Coturnix japonica: one gene and its partners. The protein of the gene in region 1 interacts with the protein of each later gene in a biochemical or structural test. Links are inferred from orthologs where the notes say so. Each region holds a gene or a part of one and is shown in the gene's direction. Other genes may lie near its edges.

Region 1 (4,299 bases):
AGCTTCTTGCATCCTAACAAAAGGTTCATCTGTTTGATGCATGGAGCCCAGGAGGGAAGTATTCGGCCATGCCTGATCTCTCTTCTTCTGTGTCAGTCTGGAGTTTTCTTCCTTATTGGATTCAAAGTGGACTTACGCAGACATCAAATGGGCACCAGCCTGTAAACAGAACATGGGACTCCCCAGGACCCCATCCCCAAGGCTCCCCACTGCCCATGGTGACATTCCTGCCTCAGACAGGGACACCAGCAGTAGTGTTCCACTGCGACAAAACCATCCAAATCCTGTGTTCATTTTTGGGAACTCCTGTGCATTCCAAGCCTAATCCACGCAGCCAGGAGCCCCTGGTATCCTGTTACGCAACGACTATTTTCATAAGCAGAAGGAGAGATGTTTTTGCACAAAAACAAAGTCTGTCTGTCCGGCTGTGAGCCAAACACTGGCCATGACCTCAGGGCTGATCAGTGATGGCTTCAGGAGCAGCTTTTGCCACCAGAGGTGCACCTGGGGCTGGTGCATCCCTCCCTTCTCTTCCCATGGCCTTTGGGTTTCCTGCAGGGCACCCTTTGCTAAGCACCAGGTTCTGGAAAATCTGCTAAAGATGTAGTTTGACAAACCCTCCTGAAGCCTTTGGTTCCCTTTGGGGGTTGCTGCAGAATCACAGTATCACAGAACCAGTAAGGTTGGAAAAGACCACAAAGCTCACCTACTCCAACCCATCCCCACAATGCCCAGTAACCTGGGGCTCCCCAGGCTCCTCTGCAGCGCACACAGAAAATGAATTTGTTTTCCCTGCTGTGGTTTTCCTCCTTCTGAGTGCTTCTTTCCGCCCAGCCCCTTTCTGGCCCCGCAGCCCTGACTGCTTCCAGTCTTCTGTGTGCTGTCAGGATTTATGACTTTGCCATGCTGCATGCAAGGCGTTCACCAAACCCCCTCAGCCAACCTCTTGGAGTGGTACATTTAACCTGGCAGCGTTTACCATCCTATCTGGTTTTCTCATTTGGACACTGTTTCAGCTATTTAGGGGCATGCCTTCTCCCTTCCAAAGCCCCCTTTCCCGCAGTGCTTTTCTCCTTTTTGCTGTGTACCATCCACAAGCCAACGCTGCATGTGTGCTCTGATGTCATGATGCGGAGCCTCTAAATAGGCTTTGCTGCTTCCCACCCTCTTTGTCACCCCTTCCAGTTTCTTTCTGAAGAGCTCCTTGCTTTTTCTGTAGCTCCCCTTATGAAACTGAACACTGAAATGTGGTGATGTGAGATTTGTTGCTCCTGCAGCACTGGGCTGGGGTTGCTGCGTGTTTCCATTAGGAAGTGCAGCAGCCCCACTGCTTCCTGTAGTGCCCCGTGGGTGGGATGGAGAGGAGAAAATGCTCCTGGCAGGGCTGGGAGGAGGGACCTGCAGACCCTGCACCCGATGCAGGACATTGGCACTACACTCCCTGCCCACTCCTGATGATGTTTCTGGTGCTGTTTTGTAGATATCCATGAATTCTATGACTTCACGCTGCGCTCGGCTTCCCTGCAGCCTTCCAGCCCAGCAGTGCATCGTAGCCCAGCCAGGCACCGCAGCCCCAGAGAGACCCACAGCCCCCCCGAGGTAAGAGCCGCTCCGTTTCCTGCAGTGGGGACAGGTTGGCACCAGCTGCCATGCCAGCAGTGTGTTTCCACACCTCCTCTGTCAGAGATTCCCTCGATAATTAGGAAACGTCTCTCATTCATGAGCGCTAATTGAATTATTCCTAATGCAAATGAGTTCAGCTCTAGCTCTGCTTTCTGCTGTGGATGTACTGGGACTCTGATCGAGCCACCTCACAAGCTGCTTTTGATAACTGGAGTTGGGCCTTTCAAGTTTCCTTTCTCAGGATTTTTTCCAGCTCTCTGATAACTTCCACGTCTCTTATTTGCATTCTCTTTAATTTCCAACAGTCTTTTAAGAGATACAGCACCAGACAGAGAGGCAGTGACTGAACAGTAGGATCTGAGTTATCTCCTAGGCACAAAAGCTAATTGAATTGCCTTGATGGAGTGGGGGCAGTTTTGACTTTCCAGGGCTGCTCCAGTCCTTACCTCACAGCTCTCGATCTGGTCTATGGCAATGGATCCGTTTTCAAGTGGGCTTACAACCTGTTTCTGAAGCAACAGGCACCGGGATCCTATTTAGTTTTCTGGGGCTGCAAGAGACTCATTTTCAGCAGTGGGGTCCACCTGCCCGAGCACGCAGACACCATCACACCACTCCTTTCTCTAAAGAGATGCGTGGAGACATCTCATATTGCTGGAACATAGAATGGAACGGGTTGAGTTGGAAGGGACCTAAAAGATCACCTGTTCCCAGGCCAGCAGTGGGATCCCCCTGTCCTGAATGGCATCCCAGGGGCTCGCAGCTCTCCCTACCCACTTCTGTGTCCTGGGTCTCATTGCAGCCACCAGCCCAGGATGATGAGCAAAGGCTGCTCGCGGTGACGCCGGCAACGCCCCCAAGGCTGGTGAGGGTGACAGCACGGCGGACGGAGGTACCAACCAGCATCTGCAGCCTGGTGCTGGGCTCCCGCAGTGCCCTGCCGCAGGTGAGCCCCCGCACCGCGTCCCACCCGGCCGCCGGCTGCCACCGCGTGGACAGCACCGGGGCTGCGTGCCCGTAGCACTGTGGGATGGTGCTGGGGAAGTGCCTGGGGCTGGTGTTTCCTCGGGCTCTTCCCGTTGGTGATGCTCAGGCTGGGAAACGTGGCAGTAACACCAACAGCATCCCCTGTGCGTTAGCACTCATGTGGTCCAGCGTCAGCATTGGGAGGGCAGATGGATGTGGTACAGGATGGAAATCCTCCCAGCCCCATATCTCCATCTCACTCCCACCTCGCAGATTTCCACCTTTTTCTCTCTCCGAGCTCCTCAATGGCAGGTCCATTCCTCAGCATACCAGGAGCTTTTCTCTGCTGTTTGCCATCTATCTGGATGTGGGTCGTAAATCTCAGCTCCCTCCTGGTGTGAGCGCATCGCGTGGGCTCCGTACCTGATGTTGGTTGTAGGGACGAGTGAAGGGCAAAACACACTCTGAGCCTTTAGGGAGGGATGGAGTGGCTGTGATGGATGGAGCTCACCAGACGTAAAATAACATGAAGGCTTTGTTTTCCTTGGCACAGCTTTAATCAGTCCTCGTTTGCTAGGTTGGATTCTTCTTCCAAAGTATTTTAAACGTGAAGATCACGCTGCTGCTTTTCTCCCCATTTTAAGTGTTTCCCTTCTCGCTTTAGACTCCAATAAAATGGGTGATGCCCCATTTTTTTCCTTACTGTTGAATTTCTCCTTTTCCTCTCCCTGCTCTCTCTGCGTCTTCAAACACTCACCAAATCCTTACCATGGAACAGGGGGGGGACTGTGGTTAAATGGAGACAAGAGGTGCAGTTTGCAATCAGCCCAGCCCTGGTGGTGGTCATTTCAGCAGTGAAAACTTTGTGTGTGCTGGGAATCCACCTGCTTTTATTACTTCATCCACTGGGATTTTGGATGGAGCCCTTCCCCCTTGTGTTCCACTCTGGCATCCCTGGGCTGCACTCGTGGATGTGGGGCTCTCAGGGGCAAGAACCTACAAGCACAGCATTCAGCCCCACACACCTGGCTGAGATGCAGACACCTCCCCTCTACTTTGAGGTTTCACACGGTGGGGAATCTGCTCTGTGATAGTCCGGCTCTCCTGATGGTTATTTATCCTTTCCATTAAAAACGTGCACTTTACTGATAGCCTGGATTCCTCTTGCTTTAGCTCCCAGCCCCAGGAGGTTTTGCTGCCTTTGTTTGCCAGGATAAAGGGCCGCAGCCATCAGAACAGTTCCCAACATGATGGTATTTATAGATGCGTCTGAGTTCCCTTTTAACTTTCCCTTAGCTAAACTAAACAGATTGGCTTCCTCACTCACTCGGTGTTGTTCCAGCCCTGAAATCATTCCTGTCATTCTTTTCTGAAGCGTTCCTTTTCTTTTTAGCCTTCTCCTTGTATGGGGTCAGGTCAGGGTGATGGGCACCTTTCAGCCAGATCAGTATACCCACAGCTATTCCCTCCCAACCTGAAAGGGTGCAGAGCAGGGGTCTGGAGGAAAGACCTTTGGGATGATGATGTGCAGTGGTTGGCCATGCTTGGGGCTCTTCTGTCCACGGGGCAGCTCTCCTGGACCATGGGAACAATCAGTGCTGGAAGCTGCAGGCTTGGAGCTGCTTCTCTCCAAGCTGGGACATGGCAGGTTGGCCATGGAGGTGAACCCTATCCACCAGTTGTCCTCATCTGAACATCGTGATCATTGCT
Region 2 (5,049 bases), on another chromosome or scaffold:
ATGGCTTGCTGCCTACTGCGCTGGGGGGGGATGGATGTGGCTGAGGCCACAGCAGAATGCAAAAATCAGGAGGTTCTGAAAGACAGGGAGATTTTCCAACCTAGAAACAAGGACTCAGCAGAGGAGAAAAAGGTCCCTGGGGTAGGAGACAGAGCTTTGGAGGACTGGGAAGAAATGAAAGAGTTGGTCTGGTGCAGCTGAATGCTTACCAGTGATTATAAGTCAGTGTAGAAGAAATACTGAGGGGGAGGCAAGAAAATTTGCTAAGCTGTTTAGGCTTGGACAACTAAAGAAACTTCACAGTTTTGTTATGTTAAATCTGTACTAGAATAGAATAAGCACCACTAATTCCTTTCGCTTTGGCATGGTATATCAGTGCTAAGTCTGACTGCTCTGGCATACTCTAATGCATCTCCTGGTGCATTGCATGTGCTCACTCTTCCTCCCTTCCCACTGGTATATTTCAAAATAGAAGTACGGTTTCTTTCTAAAGTCTTCAAACCTTTGCTTTGCATATGGTTATGTTTAACCCTTTGGCAGGCTGCTCTGTTCAGCTTAAAGTCGGGGTATCGACTTCTGAATCAAGTTGCAGATCCCACTTCAAAAGTTTGGGTTTGTATTTTAGTACTCCTGAAGAATCCATTTCTGATTCCTGACTAAAAAACAGCCAATACCTGGCACGTATGTGGGGTTTTTAATGGGTTTCAAAGCATTTTGTCTAACAGCTGCACAGAAGTTGAGACCAACCTGCACCTGGAATAAAGATGATAAACTGCAAAAGGTGGTTCCAGCACAGTATTCTGGGGTGCCAGCATTGTTAAAGGGAGATTTCTTGGCCAAAATTTTCTGGTCCAAAGGCATTCCAAAGGAGATCATTCCAGTTTTTAAGTGAAGATAAACCATTACCTCTCTGTCTCTTCGGGGACCCTTTGGGGTTGCTACTCCAGGACAGACTCTTCCTCCCTATTAACAGCCACTTTTCACAGAGGGAAAGGGCTGAAAATGGAGGAAAAAATGAGATTTCACCCAAGGAGGACACACTTTCCCATTCAAGCACCTTGCTCAAAACACCACTTAAGTTGAATTGGGGCTGGTGGGAGCTCACAGGTGCATAATAGCTTTCCCAAGGCAGAATCTATGGGGGTTTGTAGCCAAGACATCTGCTTTTTTCCATCACCATCACAATTTAAGACCCCATTTAAAACAGTTTACACATCAGCTTCACGCTGGGACACTGCAGGCTTCACCATAAGGCCGCAGATCTCACTCTTGCTGGGGTACATCCCACATTTAAACCACTTCTGTGTCCATTTTGAGGCAGTCTGGGGTATATTTTTAACACACAAGCCTATTTCTGAGGCGTATTTTTAATATTCCAGCCCACTTCTTAGAGGTGCATTTTCAAGCTTCAAGAGGGACACGTGTTTTTCCTCTATTCATCAGGTGATTTCAGGCTTTGGGGGTTGACATTGCTACCCTCCTCGAGGCCGTGAGGCGTTGGGGTTGACATTGCTACCCTCCTCGAGGCCTTGAGGTGTTGGATATGAGTTTTCTGAGGAGAAAAGATGAGAATTGAGGAAGATGAAGGGGTTGGAGGAAAAATGGCTTCCGTGCCTCAGTTTCCCCCATTCCTAGGTCCTCCAAGCCTGCAGTTACAGCAGCAGGACACAAGGGGGCGCTGTGGTCAACGGCGGCGACACTCCTCCCCCCCTCGCTCGTCTCCTAGCAACTCACCCCACCCTCCTCTCTGATTGGCTGCCTCCCCTCACCGCCGCCATTTTCAAACCGCCGGTTCGCCGCCTCAGTTGTTTTTCGCCGCCGCCATTTTGTGCGGTGCCGTCCGGTTTCCCCCCCCGTTCCTCAGCCTGATTCTTCACCATGGAAGCCGAGCCCGTGGCTCAGAAGCCCCCTCGGCGGAAAAGAGGGAGGGTTAGTGCTGGAACAAGCGCCAGCCGCTCGCCCCCGGCGGACAGCAGCCGGTAGGAGCCGCCGTGTCTCCCCGTCTTTCTGTCAGGGGCTGAGGCCTGTGGTTCTCCCTTTATGTGTGTATATAGTGAGGAGGGGATCTATTCCCGTCTTCCTGGCATATAAAGGGGACGTTTCCCCTTTTTTCCTCAGCCTTTATGGTGCTTTAAACATCCTTAAAGGGGCCCTTCACCCTTGTGTCTAATGGGGGGAGCTCCCTTGTGTCTAATGGGGGGAGCTCCCTTGTGTCTAATGGGGGGAGTTCCCTTCTGTCTAATGGGGCAGTTCCCTTGAGTCTAATGGGGGGAGCTCCCTTGTGTCTAATGGGGGGGGAGCTCCCTTGTGTCTAAGGGGGGCAGCTCCCTTGTGTCTAATGGGGGCAGCTCCCTTGTGTCTAATGGGGGCAGCTCCCTTGTGTCTGACGGGGGGCAGCTCCCTTGTGTCTGACGGGGGGCAGCTCCCTTGTGTCTGATGGGGGCAGCTCCCTTGTGTCTGATGGGGGCAGCTCCCTTGTGTCTGATGGGGGCAGCTCCCTTGTGTCTGATGGGGGCAGCTCCCTTGTGTCTGACGGGGGGCAGCTCCCTTGTGTCTGACGGGGGGGCATAGCTCCTGTGTCTGCGACGGGGGGCAAGCTTCCTCGGGGGGCAGCTCCCCTTGTGTCTGACCGGGGGGCAGCTCCCTTGTGTCCTGACGGGGCGCCTCGGGCAGCTCCCTTGTGTCTGACGGGGGGCAGCTCCCTTGTGGTCTGACGGGGGGCAGCTCCTCTGTGTCTGGACGGGGCGGCAGCTCCCTTGTGTCCTGACGGGGGGCCAGCTCCCTTCGCTGTCTGACGGGGGGCAGCTCCTTTGTCCTGACCGGGGGGCAAGCTCCCTTGGTGTCTGACGGGGCGGCAGCTCGCCTTGTGTCTGAACGGGGCGGCAGCTTCCTTCGTGTCTGACGGGGGGCAGCTCCCTTGTGTCTGACGGGGGGCAGCTCCCTTGTGTCTGACGGGGGCAGCTCCCTTGTGTCTGACGGGGGCAGCTCCCTTGTGTCTGACGGGGGCAGCTCCCTTGTGTCGACTGGGGGGCAGCTCCCTTGTGTCGACTGGGGGGCAGCTCCCTTGTGTCGACTGGGGGGCAGCTCCCTTGTGTCTAATGGGGGGCAGCTCCCTTGTGTCTAATGGGGGGCAGCTCCCTTGTGTCTGACGGGGGCAGCTCCCTTGTGTCTAATGGCTTTACGGGACCCCTCACACCATATAAAGTGGGTGCGTTGCTCTATGCTTCCCTGCTTTATAAGGTGGATGTGTCTGTGGTTCCTGAGTGTCTTTAATGCTCATAGGGTGCCCCAGTGTTATATTGTATGCTATGTGTATGGGAGGGGGGTGTTTCTCAGGCTATCACATGTTTTCCTGCCTGTTTCTGTCCCGTAATAGGGATATTTGGTCCCATTTCAGGTCTCCAACTGGTTTCTGTGCAAGTGTGAGATGCTTGCAGTCCCTATTTGGCTCGGAGAAGAAATAGAGGGTCTTTGCTCCTCAGGGTGGTTGTTGGTGCAATGTGGGGATTGATTTCTCTTTTCACACTGTTTCCCTGTACCTCTTTGTCACCCATTTTAGGTTCTGTATTCTACAAGGTTCTGGCTGGGTGTAATGTGTGGTTAAATAGAGTTTGGGGCTGCTCTGTGGGTTGAATTGGGCTGGGCTTAATCTCCCTCTGCCATCACCAGCTCAGCCAAGCTTCCAGGATCTCCTCCAGTCATAACACTAGATCAACTCTGTTAAGTATGGAAGAGATCCAGTGTCAGCCTTGGCTTTTACTCTCGTTTTTAAATCCCTCTGTATACCATCTATTATTTTGATGTGCTTGGACTTGTGAGACCTTTCTTGAGACAGCCCTGTGAAACAAGACGTTATGTCTTAAGTTAACCCGTGGATGATCTTATCTGTGTTGACCCCTGATACATGGATGTGTTTATTGGCACTAGTTGACCCGAGTGACTCAACTCCCGTTGACTTTTATCAGGACAAACCCTGTTTGATCGGCTCAGGTTTGTATTTATTATTGCCCTCAGGGTCAGGAAATGACTCCTCCAACTTTGCAGGTGCTGTAAAAAGCAGATTTGGGTTCAAATAGATACAGGTTCAGGGTCTATGGACCTGTGATCTGGATCTTTTCCTCACTGCTCTGGTTCTTTGTGGACAGGACTGCAGTGAATGGTGGTGTTACAATGTTGGTTTTGATAATGGCTTTTTGTAACTGTTGAGTGTTTCATAAGGTGGGATGTTTCAATGAGCCTTAAAATACATATTTACATAGAAACATGCTGCAATATTGTCTTGATGATCAAACTGGAGCTTGTTGGTCTCCAGTCCCAGCCCTTAAAACTACAGACTTAGCTCAAATTGCTCAGAGCATTGGCCAGGTGAGATCAGAATCATCCAAAGACAAATCTCATTGCCTCTATATTTGAAGGTTTGACCACATGTATTGCGCAAAAGCATTTTTCTTTATATCTAATGGGATTTTTCCTTGCTGTGCCTCTTTCCATTCTGCTGTGTGCATACAATATATTTGGTTTCTTGCTTTCTCTACTTCTTTTCAGATAGCTAGAGCCATCTTTGCAGTCTCTCCCCATACAGAGGGAGCCCATTCTGTTTTTCTTCATTTATTTAGTGTTTCAGCCCTAGCACCTTTTACCATTGGCTGGATGTGTTCTAGTTTCTGATGTTCCTTATACTGAAAAGCCCAAAGCTGGCCCTGTTCCCTGTATGGATTCTCTCATACTGTCATCTCTTAACTTGTCTGCTGTGGTTTTGCTACCCTATAAATGGAGAGAATCATAGAATCACAAGGTTGGAAAGGACCTACAGGATCATCTAGTCCAACCATCCTCCTATCACCATCACTCTAAGCTACTAAACCTTATCTCATAGCTCCTCATCCAGCCACCTTGCTGCAGAACACAAGTAACATCATTTAAATTAAGATGCTTAATCCCTTCAGCTGTGGTGAAGTGGAAAAGAGAGAGCAAAAAAAAAAAAAGCATCTGGAAGTAGGTTTGTTTTTTCTCCTTTCTTTTTGCTTACAGCTTAGCCAAGTTTATGTC
Region 3 (4,974 bases), on another chromosome or scaffold:
AAAAGGCAATTTTTTCCTCTTGGGGGCTCAGCTTGGAACACAGATGGGTTGAGCTGCAGCCTTAACAAACCCAGGAGTATCACCCTGAGAAACATCATTGCAAGAGGGATTTTCATGTTCTAATTTAAAGGAGTTCTTATGTTTCTTCTCTTTCCTTTTTCTTTTCCATGTATTACTCCACTGCTGAAGGAAAAATGAAGTACTATAGTCTTGAAAGCAAACAGAATTGCATGAAAGATTATCACTCCAATTTCCTTCGAAAACTACACTAACTAGTTTTGTTTTGTTTTGCAAGCCTATCTGGTCAAAGAGCTTAGAAATACAATGAAAAGCTGCCTAGTCTTAAAAAGCCATTTTCTCTCTCTGGCATCTTCTTTAAAGGCAAGACCTCACACAAGATGTTAACAATGTCAGAATGTAAGTCCATTTCATTTAGGACAGTCCTTATGGCTTGCTGACAGTAAAGTCAAGGAGGGTTTTTATCTGGCTTCAGTACACTCACGTGGTTTTAAACTTGCTTATTGGTAACCTAAAAGATTCTTGCTCAAAAGAAGACAAGATAAATGCTGATGATATGCCCATAGCAGACCAAAATTAAATTAATCTTGTGCTTTTCCCTTTTTCTCTTTCCACCATTGATCTGGAGAGCTTGCAGAAAAGATAACCTCTGCTGTGAGTTTGTACACTGTCAGCACAGAGGGAAGGGTAAAGGTCCTTAATGGCAAACTTTGCATTGCAGCTTTGACACGAATAGTGCCAGCACCCGGGTGCCAAGTTCATTCATTACCTGGCTGCCTGATTGTGCAGGGTGACTTCTGACAGGAGTTCAGAGAATGCTCATGGCCTTAACTATGCTTGCAACACTGTGGCACCATGAAGCCTTATCCTAGTATTTTCACTAGTGGTGCTCATAGCATATAGCATCATAGGATCATAGCACTGAGGGAGGGAAATGGATCCTTAAAGGCCATCTAGTCCAACTGCCCTGCAACAAACAGGGACACCTACAACTCAGTCAGGTCCCTAAGAGCCTTGTCCAGCCTGACCTTCAATCTCCAGAGACAGGGCAGCCACCACACCTCTGAGCAGGATGTTCCAGTGCTTCACCATCCTTGTTCTGAAAAACATTTTCTTTATAATCAGTTTAAAATCTCCCCTCTTTTAGTTTGACATAAACATAAACATATATTTGTATTGTTTTTCAACTTAGGTTGTGGTCCTGAAAGTGTAGTTCTCTGGGTTCACAGCATCGATTCACCTCTACTTTTTGCTTCTCTGTAGCCTTTTTCACACACACTGAAGGCCACCTCCATTGATTGAACAAGGCATCTGGCTGCTGCTTGGCAGCTCAGGCACCTGGACTGGCAACTATTTCCTGCTACCAACAAGCAGCGCAGGATCTAAGGACAGGAGATACAGTCAGTGAGATTTATCGCTGATAACTGGGTACAGAATGAAGTGGTAAGCGCCATGAAGTGATACTAAAGATACATATCTAATGATTGCCATGCTTAAAATCGGGTCAGTTCCTTCGAAAACGTCCAACAGATTTGCCAGCGACCCGGGCTCAGTGCAACAGGTGCCAGCTGGACCGGGAGACGCTGCCGACGAAACTTCGGGAAGCGACCTCAGCCTCCCCCGCACTCCACGACCAAGCGGCACGGTCGGACCCAGGCTCGGAGCGGGGCGGGGGCCGCCGAAACCCCACCCCGCGGGGCAAGTCACCAGGGGGTGGGGAGATGGTGACAGCTCCAGGAAGCCACGCTCGGCAGCGGCAGACAGCGGGAAGCAGCTGGCCGCAGCAGCACTCCTACCAGCGCAGCCGTCCCCGCTATGGGCTCCCCGCAGCGCCCTCCGCTCGCCCATGTCTTCAGGGGCACCTTCGTGCACTCCCGGCCCGACGCGCCCATGGAGATCCTGCACGGCCGCCTGCTGGGGGTTGACGACGGCGGCACGGTGAGAGGCGCGGGGCCGCGGGGCGATGCGGGAACCTACGCCGTACGGAGGCGGTCAGGAAACGGGGACCTGTCCGATCGAAGCGGGTGGGGTGGGACCTCGGGGAAGAGATCGGAGTCTGGGGGCAGCCGGAGAGGACGGAGCAGCGTGTCCGCGGGGAGCTCCAGCCTGCTGTGGGGCGACGTATGTTCCCAGAGCACCTGGAGCGCGGCTGTGCTCGGCTGGTCTCCGTTTTCCTTCTGTCTTACAGGTGAATTTGTCATTCTCCGTGTCAGAACAGTAAGAATGGGTGTGGATAGTTGCCGAGTCCCCCCTGTACAGAGTGGTCTTTTTCTTCTTGTTACAAGAAAAAGCATGGAATGTGCCCTTAAAAAGTTTGGAGAACGGTACCGCTGGGCACGTTAATGGCACAAACTGAATCTAAAACGAATGTAAAACTGATAGCGCAGGGCCGGTCCTGGCAGGAAGCTCAGCCATGTCACTGGTTGAGACTCAGCTTCACGGTGCGTAGGCAGAGCAGCAATTTCGCCTAGACTTAGCAATGCATGTAGCAACCGTAGGTATAAGGAGAAAAGTCATTTTCTTTTCTTCTGATGACTGTACAATTGCATCAGGCTTTGGTAATGTTTGAAATACATTGAAAATACACAGTTAGTTCCTGCAGTTCACCATCCTTCACCATCCACACAGGTCCATGAAGATCTCCTTCAAGTCAGTTCTCCTACAGCTATTCTGAGTCTGGCACAGTGTATAGCAGAGTCCCTGAAAAGCTGGATAGGAGGTGAATAAAAAGATAGAAAGTTATGTATTGAGAGATGTCAACTAAAAGCAATAGAGCCGAATGAATAAACGTTTTGGTTTGTGTACCTTGGGTGCAGGAAGTGGAAACTTCTGTCTCTCATCTTCCTCTCTTAGTGCTAATTCTTGGTAAATGTCACTATGTTGTGTTCTAAGCAAATTATTGCTTTCCAAGGATTTTCTTGAAAAACACACACTGTATCTGTACCATGCTCTATCTATTGATTTCTGCCTCAGGAGAGTTGCTCTCCTCCTCTGGAGGTATTCAAGACCCACCTGGGTATCTACCTGTGTGGCTTGCTGTAGGAGGCTGCTTTGCAGGGGGGTCTGGACTCAATGATCTCTGGAGTTCCCTTCCAGCTCCTACAGTTCTGTGATTCTATGATTCTGTTTATCTCTCCCCCTTCTCTTGGTGAACAAGGATGCACTGGATGTGTTTGCCATGCATAAGTTGATGCATTTCCACGCTGTTTAAGAAAAAAATCTGGTAAAACACTATTGTCCAAAAGGAAAACTTTAACCAGAATAGATTGATAAGGACTTTCATAATCTTTTCTGTTTGGGAATTCGTGACATTTTACAATTCCAGGGTCTAGCACAGTGCGGTTTGTTACCATTTAGCCTGTTATCATAATTTTGCTACATGGAGAACTTCCCCTGTAATCACTGAATATGTGCTTCTATGAGAAGGACATGGTAGTTCAAAGATTTTTACCTCTATTGTCAAGATATACACCAATACAATTTTGCTATTGCTTCCAAAGAATTAAGCTTAACTAGGTTTAAATAAGCTTAACTTTTGCCTCACGTTGCTGATTCCATCATGCAAAGTTGATCTCAGGAGAGCTGAACGGCTTTTGTGGTTAGCCAGGTGCTGTTCTCACAGCCGCAGGAGTGCACAGCCAGGACACAGAGTGCTGCCTGGTCCCGTGCTGCATGCTGAAACACAGCTGTAGAGCCACAGATGGGGTGTCAGCTCTCTTTGCTTTGCCTTCAGATGAAAAGGGAGCTTTAATAAAGAAAGCACTGCCTTCAGGAATGCACACCCAAATTATCGTAAGTTAACAAAGTAAGTCTATGTTTAGAGTGGTTTGCAGAGCAGCACAATGCTCTTGAGGAGTTGCCAATAGAAAGGGTAACATTTGTCAAGGTAAGGAAAATAAAGCCAGCTGCAGACTGGGTTGTTGTTGAAATGCTGGTGTGAATAATATAGCTGAGTAAAATATTAAGAAAGTAGAACAAGTATCAAGATAAAAGCTTCCTTTGAATGACTAGGAGAAAATGTCATGGAGTAAGTGTTGATATTGTCAAGTAATGACAATTTGACTTATACCAGCTGTGATAGCAGGTGTCGTGTGTTAGCTGACAGGGGAGGAAGGTATCAAGTCAAAAACTGATATGTGGGGTTCATTGATTCATCCTTCTCAGCAGTTTGGGCTGTTGAGTTTTTGAGCAGTGTAGTTTGATAAGCAATGCTGTCTCTCATCTAACCCTGTATTTCAGTTTTGAGAATTAAATAAGCAATAGACATCATATCTGTAATGATCAAACTGTTGAAGATGGTAGCCTCATTAAACAGTGCTGACAGCAGCTCAGTGAGGCCAAGAATGGGACAGCGTAATGGTAGGAGGCAGGAAACAGCTGTGTTAGTGCCAGCAGCTGACCACTGTGGGCACAGAGTGAGATGTGAAGGATGTGGGAGGGAGAGAAGAAAGGACTTGTTGCTCATGTTCAACTCAATGTCATAATTGAAACAAATACAGATACTGCTGCTGGATCTAGAGGGAGGAAAAGATAAAAAAAAATAAAAATAAAAAATAGAAAAAAAAAGCATGTTTCATAGGGCAATCTAACTCACGTTCTATCTTCCTACTCACACTATAGTGCTTGGTGGCACTCAGGGTTTACTGTATCAGGGTTAATATATAATTAACTGGGCCATCTATGTGCTCATGTTGTCTGAGGCTTTGGACATCTCCTGAGATTAAGAAAAGGGGCTGATGATGACCACTCAGCTCATCATCTTCTGATCCTTTAGATGTATCACATGGATGGCACATAATAGTTGATTAGCCGCTGTTGGCAGCTGGTAGTAGCTGTTGATCTACCTGATTTTTGTGATAATATCTTTCTTAATTGCTGGTTACTGTCCTTGTGTTCTGTATTTACAAGAGGAAATTCATAGCCTTACCAGTGTACTTTTCTGATTCTGTAGTGATC
Region 4 (5,019 bases), on another chromosome or scaffold:
TATAAATAAACCAGTTTCTAACCAGATGAGACTCTGTTACCCTCATAACTTTTACCAGTCAACACAGCAATGTGAATGACAGGCACAGGGACTTTGCTTTCTAAAAAAAAAAAGTGTCATAACAATAAACAAATATAGTTCCATGGGTGAACCATGTAAATATTTTCATGTAGTAACATGAAACACTTCATAAGGCATTTCTTAATAAGCCCAAACCATTTAGGCCTATGGTAGGCCAGTGAGTGTCGGGCAGCTGGTGGCTCAATGTTCTCTCAGTGTAAATAGATGATCAATCATCCTCTCTTGTTATTGTTTTAAAGAATAGTTTGAGACTCGGTTCACAGTGAGTGTTCGTACTGCCTGTTCTTTTTGCTCTCCTAGCAATACAAGTTTTAAAATTAAGAAAAAAAAAAGCATTGTTTTTCACCTGGCTGCTAGAGCCTACTTGTTTGGCTCTCTGCTCATGTCTGGGGTGGAGGGACAGCACAGGCACAGGCCCACAACAAAAGGAAGAAATAATGCACAGGCAGGAAGCAAAGGGCTTATCAGCCTATTTAGCAAAGACACAAAGAAAAAGGAAGAAAATGCATTCCTGTGCATTATGCTGTAGAACTGCACAAATATAAGTTTGAATTTCACCATGCTCCTATCCTGCTCACTCAAAGAAAGCTAACTAACTCAAGAGCCTATTTGTAAGCCTGATACAGGGCAAAAATGTTAAGCAGCGTATCTGCGTTGCTCGTGTATCAGGACATACAATTCACCTACAAAATACAAGGTGAAGGCTGTTTATGCTGCTGTGATTTGGCCTGGATGTGTTTCTGGCAGGACCAAGAGGATCCCCTGCTGTAGGAAACCTGCTTTAGTAAGGACTTGAACCAAGTGATCTCCAGAAGTCCCTTTCAACTCCTATGGTTCTGTGATTCTGTGACTCCAGATGTCTTTTGAGACAGAGGTCAGTCACAGGCTGCTCACTGTGCCAGCCAGGAAGATGGATGTTTGCCCTGTTGCCGGTCAGTGCCCATCCTTAATACACAACACAGGGGTCCAGCGGGCCCTTCCCCATCATGGAGGGTAGCACGGAATGGTGCGGTCACTCAGGGAGGTTCACCGGAGCAAAGAGAACTGTCCGCTTTCCACAGTTTCTGCTTTTGGAGGAGCACTCCCAGCTGCAGCCTTCTTGGCAGGTGCTTTCCCTCATCTGCCGGGGAGCCTTATCCTGTTCCTCAGGTCCGATCGTCCTTGTGGATGCCCCGTCCTTGGAGGTGTTCAAGACCAGGTTGGACGGGGCCCTGGGCAACCTGATCTAGTGAATGTGTATGTTTGGTGGCCCTGCCAGGCAGGGGGGTTGGAACTACATGATCCTTGAGGTCCCTTCCAACCCGGGTCATTCTGTAATTCTGTCCTTTCTCTATCAAGGGTCCCGAGGGAAGCGAAGGGACTGTGAGCGCTGAGTTCCGCGGCGACTGGCACCGAGGCCCCGGGGCCCGGCCCTCAACGCCTCCTCCAGCAGCAGCCAGCGGGCGGCGCTCGCCCGGGCCGCGGCCGCCTGCGCCCTCCGCTCCCCCACGGGAACAGCGCGAAGAGAAACTCCCTCTTCCCCACCCTCCGCCTTGCGGACCCCCTTTGCCCCTCGCCGTTCTCCTCGTGAGCCGTGACACAGAGGCGGCGGGGGCCCGAGCTGACGGCGACCCTCCGGCCACGCAGCCCAGAGTTACCCGAGGAGGGGGCCGGGCAAGCGGGGAGCGGGGGGGGCGGAGGAGGAGGAGAAGCAGGAGGAGGAGGAGGAGGAGGGCTGCGCGAGGCTGAACGGCGCTCCTGCGAGATGCTGCAAGCCCAGCTCCCCGCCGGAGGGGGGTAGCAGGCTCTGCCGCCGCCGGCTGCTGCCTGTGTGAGGGCTGTTGCCGCCGCTGGACGCAACCTTCTGCCGACATGGAGCTGCCGCCGCCGCTGCTGCTGGAGTGAGCGAGTGAGCGACGGGCGGAGCAGCCGGCCGCATGGATGGATGTGTTTAGCTTTGTGAAGCTTGGGAAGCTCTCCGGGTAGGTGTCCGTACCGGGGCTCGGAAGGGCGGGGGACCGCCGGTGAGGGGAGCCCAACTTCCCTGGCAGCGGGGAGAGGGGGCGGCTCGGGCGGGGCGGCTGCCGGGACCGCTCCGTGCGGGACGGGTCAGCGCCCTCCTCGCCTGGGAGCGCCGCCGTGAAGGGGCGGCCAGAAGTGTTGGCAGCGCGGAGTGCGGCGGTGGGAGCCGGGCAGGGGGCGAGCCCGGGGGGAAAGGGGCAGCGCCTGGCCGAGGGGTGGGCAGGGAGGGACGGGGCGCGCCGTGCCGTGCCGTGTTGTGCCGTGGCCCCCTAGTTCGCCTGGCTACAACTCTGCGCTGAGCGCTGCTCGCCGGCTCGTCCACGGCGATATTTTTAGAGAAGCGGTGAAATCATCGGCAGCTGATGAGCGCTGCCCCTCTTTTTCGCACGGTGTTATGCTGGGGTGGTGTTATGCGAGTGATCCCTTGCGCGCAGGGCATGTGCTTCGTGCCGGTGCTCGGTGGGAGCATACGTGTTCTTTCCAATGGATAGATGTTCATTGAGCGGCCTCGGAGTTGCGGTCTGTGTGTTCACTGTTGCGCTGGCAGCGAGTTGCCAGGCCCCAGGCTGCGCAGACGGGTGAAGGAGCGCAGCCCCGATACCCCATTCCCCTCTAGTTAGGGGCATTGGAAGTAGCCCTCCTCAGTAATGGGAAACCACGCTTCACCTGGGAGACGCAGTATAGAAGTGCTCGAGCTGTGGGGATTTTTTCAGGGTTTTGGTGTGGATAATCTTCCTAAAGGATTTAGCTTTGATCGCGGTAACCGGGAGTGCTCTGAATTCTTATGATTTTGTGTTGGTACACCATAGTTACCACGGCCCTTGCTGTTTGAGAGGCACAGAATGAAAGCGGGTGTTACGCAAAAGGAAGGGCCTTGCTGAGGGAAGGCAAGGCTGCCTCTTGCTCCGGTGCCGCTCAGGTGGGAGAGTGTCATAGTGATGGATGGTCCTTAAAACAAATATTGTGTGGCTGGAAGTCACCGAATGCCACAGGTACAAACAGAGCTGCTATTCCCCAATTCCCTCCGCTGCACCTGGCTGTGATTACAGCTCTGTTCTTGGCCCTGCCAGGGCAGAGCAGCTGTTCTCATTCAAGCACATCATCGTCTCGCCCTGCTCTGAGCGATCTGACATGAGGTGCAGGCTGGAACACTGGTATCCTGCATGACGTTCCCTGTTTGTGCTCCCAGCCAGAGCTGTAACTACAGTGCAAACTTGAAGGAAGGAAAAATACGTGAGAACAGACAAGGAGCAGGACATGTAGTGGGGTATTTATTATTAGGTAATTGAATTGCTTGAGCTCTCGTATTTGTTTGCAAGCATTATTTTAGGGAAGCTCACAGATCTTCATGTTTCATAGCTGTCATGCTTGAGTTAAGTCAAAGGGAAAGAAAGGGATATGCTGCTCAGAGCTGTTACTAAGCCAGGTACCTGGCAGTTTTTGTACATGTGGTAGTACTTGGTATTTGTTGGTGTACAAAGGCTGTAGCTTGCTGCACGCCTGACAGCATGAACTCTGCCAACACTGAGGTTTGCGTTTAAGTAATTACAGGAAGATCACGGCATTTCTCCAGAAGGACCTGAAGGTTCTTCTGAAATGAAACCACAGGTCTCAAAGCTTGTGTCCAGCTTCATTGGAATTGAGCATATGAAGCACTCAGATCAAGTTTGCTTGTGGATCGCAGTAAATCATTTCTGTACCAAGCTGCTCTTTTTGTTTCTAATTTTCTGGTTGTTAAACAACCTAATAGTTTACACAGGACTTTACTTTACTTGCAGTTTCCTAGGTAACAGCTAGTTATCTGTTCCAGTTTCACAAGAGCTTTGTAGAGCAGGTGGACTTCAATGTAAACCCCATTTGTAATCCCTTGGTGCGTCTGCATTGAAAGCAGCAGCTCTCCCTCAGCTGTTGGAGAAAAGGCCTTTCTGGAAGAAAGCTCTCATACAACAAACAGTATTTAACTGAAAGGGTGATCTTCAGACAGAGTACCTATGGAAAGTTGTTTCAGACTTGGCTTGTACTGAATGTTTTCATGGCTTTCAGTCTTCTTTCTGTTTTGCTGTGCATTCAGATCTTCTCATTTGAGGTTGCAAGTCAACTCTTAGTGTTGAAACCAGTGGCCTTGATTCTGCATGCAGTGGCACAGGCAAGTCTGTTACGCATGGCTGCTGCAAGGGGTTGCTTCTTAATGCTGTAGTGTAATTGTAATACACATGGCGTAATCTTCAGTGGGCAGTAGCTTATATGTGTATGCCTTTAGGAGGAGGGGGTTTTCCTTGTTATCTCCTTGCCTTTATGGGTCTGTCACGTTGTATACCATGCATCTAATAAAGATGTTCATGGTGAAGTCTCTATTGATTTGTAAAGATTGGAGATGTCCATTGTGACACTGAAAACAAAAGTATTGTTTAGAAATACTGATGGCACTTTTGTTGGCATACCTTCTTTCCCTTCCCCTTTGCAGAAATTTGACTTAAAGAACGGCTTAGGTTGGAAGAGGTCATTGAGCTCCATCCACCTTGATGTGGACAGGAAGCTTGGCCTTGAAAACTCTTGCCCAGAGTTCTCCACTGATTTGGTAATAACTGTTTTGGTACAAATCTTGTAGGGCCTTTCTCTGGAAAGAGTTGTAAAAACCTGCTGTTCTAATGAACGTCCACATATAGAAAATGATTGCCAAGTCTTAATGGATCTCGTGCAGCTGGATGAGGCAGGTGAATGTTTTTGTAGTGTGGGCTACATAAGTATGTCCGGTGCGGTAGCATCTGTAATTCAGAAAGGAGGATTAGTAGGATAGATAAAGTGCACACAAAAATTGCTGGATTAGGTTGGATCAGGAGTTTGCCTTGCCCAGTGTTCTCTCTTAATTGCTTTTAGCAGCTGCTGGGGGAAGAAATAATAAGAGTGTAAATATGGAGTGGTGATCTTTGTTTTTTT

Evidence for each region.
Region 2: the proteins of DLG3 (region 1) and NET1 interact in a test that uses a peptide from one of them, tested with the Homo sapiens proteins (2 studies listed by IntAct, with this or other methods). The link is inferred for Coturnix japonica from reciprocal best matches to the Homo sapiens genes DLG3 and NET1.
Region 3: the proteins of DLG3 (region 1) and GDA form a complex in vitro, tested with the Homo sapiens proteins (2 studies listed by BioGRID and IntAct, with this or other methods). The link is inferred for Coturnix japonica from reciprocal best matches to the Homo sapiens genes DLG3 and GDA.
Region 4: the proteins of DLG3 (region 1) and FRMPD4 interact in a test that uses a peptide from one of them, tested with the Homo sapiens proteins (2 studies listed by IntAct, with this or other methods). The link is inferred for Coturnix japonica from reciprocal best matches to the Homo sapiens genes DLG3 and FRMPD4.

The regions. Positions count from the first base shown.
Region 1 is NC_029519.1:2,473,800-2,478,098, reverse strand, and holds part of DLG3 (disks large homolog 3), read left to right. Parts: intron 1-1,480; coding exon 1,481-1,599; intron 1,600-2,425; coding exon 2,426-2,569; intron 2,570-4,299. UniProt on the Homo sapiens protein: Required for learning most likely through its role in synaptic plasticity following NMDA receptor signaling.
Region 2 is NC_029516.1:1,179,858-1,184,906, reverse strand, and holds the start of NET1 (neuroepithelial cell-transforming gene 1 protein), read left to right. Parts: upstream 1-1,811; 5' UTR 1,812-1,878; coding exon 1,879-1,979; intron 1,980-5,049. UniProt on the Homo sapiens protein: Acts as a guanine nucleotide exchange factor (GEF) for RhoA GTPase. May be involved in activation of the SAPK/JNK pathway Stimulates genotoxic stress-induced RHOB activity in breast cancer cells leading to their cell death.
Region 3 is NC_029547.1:32,037,798-32,042,771, forward strand, and holds the start of GDA (guanine deaminase), read left to right. Parts: upstream 1-1,736; 5' UTR 1,737-1,833; coding exon 1,834-1,956; intron 1,957-2,107; exon of another isoform or gene 2,108-2,206; intron 2,207-4,974. UniProt on the Homo sapiens protein: Catalyzes the hydrolytic deamination of guanine, producing xanthine and ammonia.
Region 4 is NC_029516.1:111,558,867-111,563,885, reverse strand, and holds the start of FRMPD4 (FERM and PDZ domain-containing protein 4), read left to right. Parts: upstream 1-1,781; 5' UTR 1,782-2,001; coding exon 2,002-2,042; intron 2,043-5,019. UniProt on the Homo sapiens protein: Positive regulator of dendritic spine morphogenesis and density. Required for the maintenance of excitatory synaptic transmission. Binds phosphatidylinositol 4,5-bisphosphate.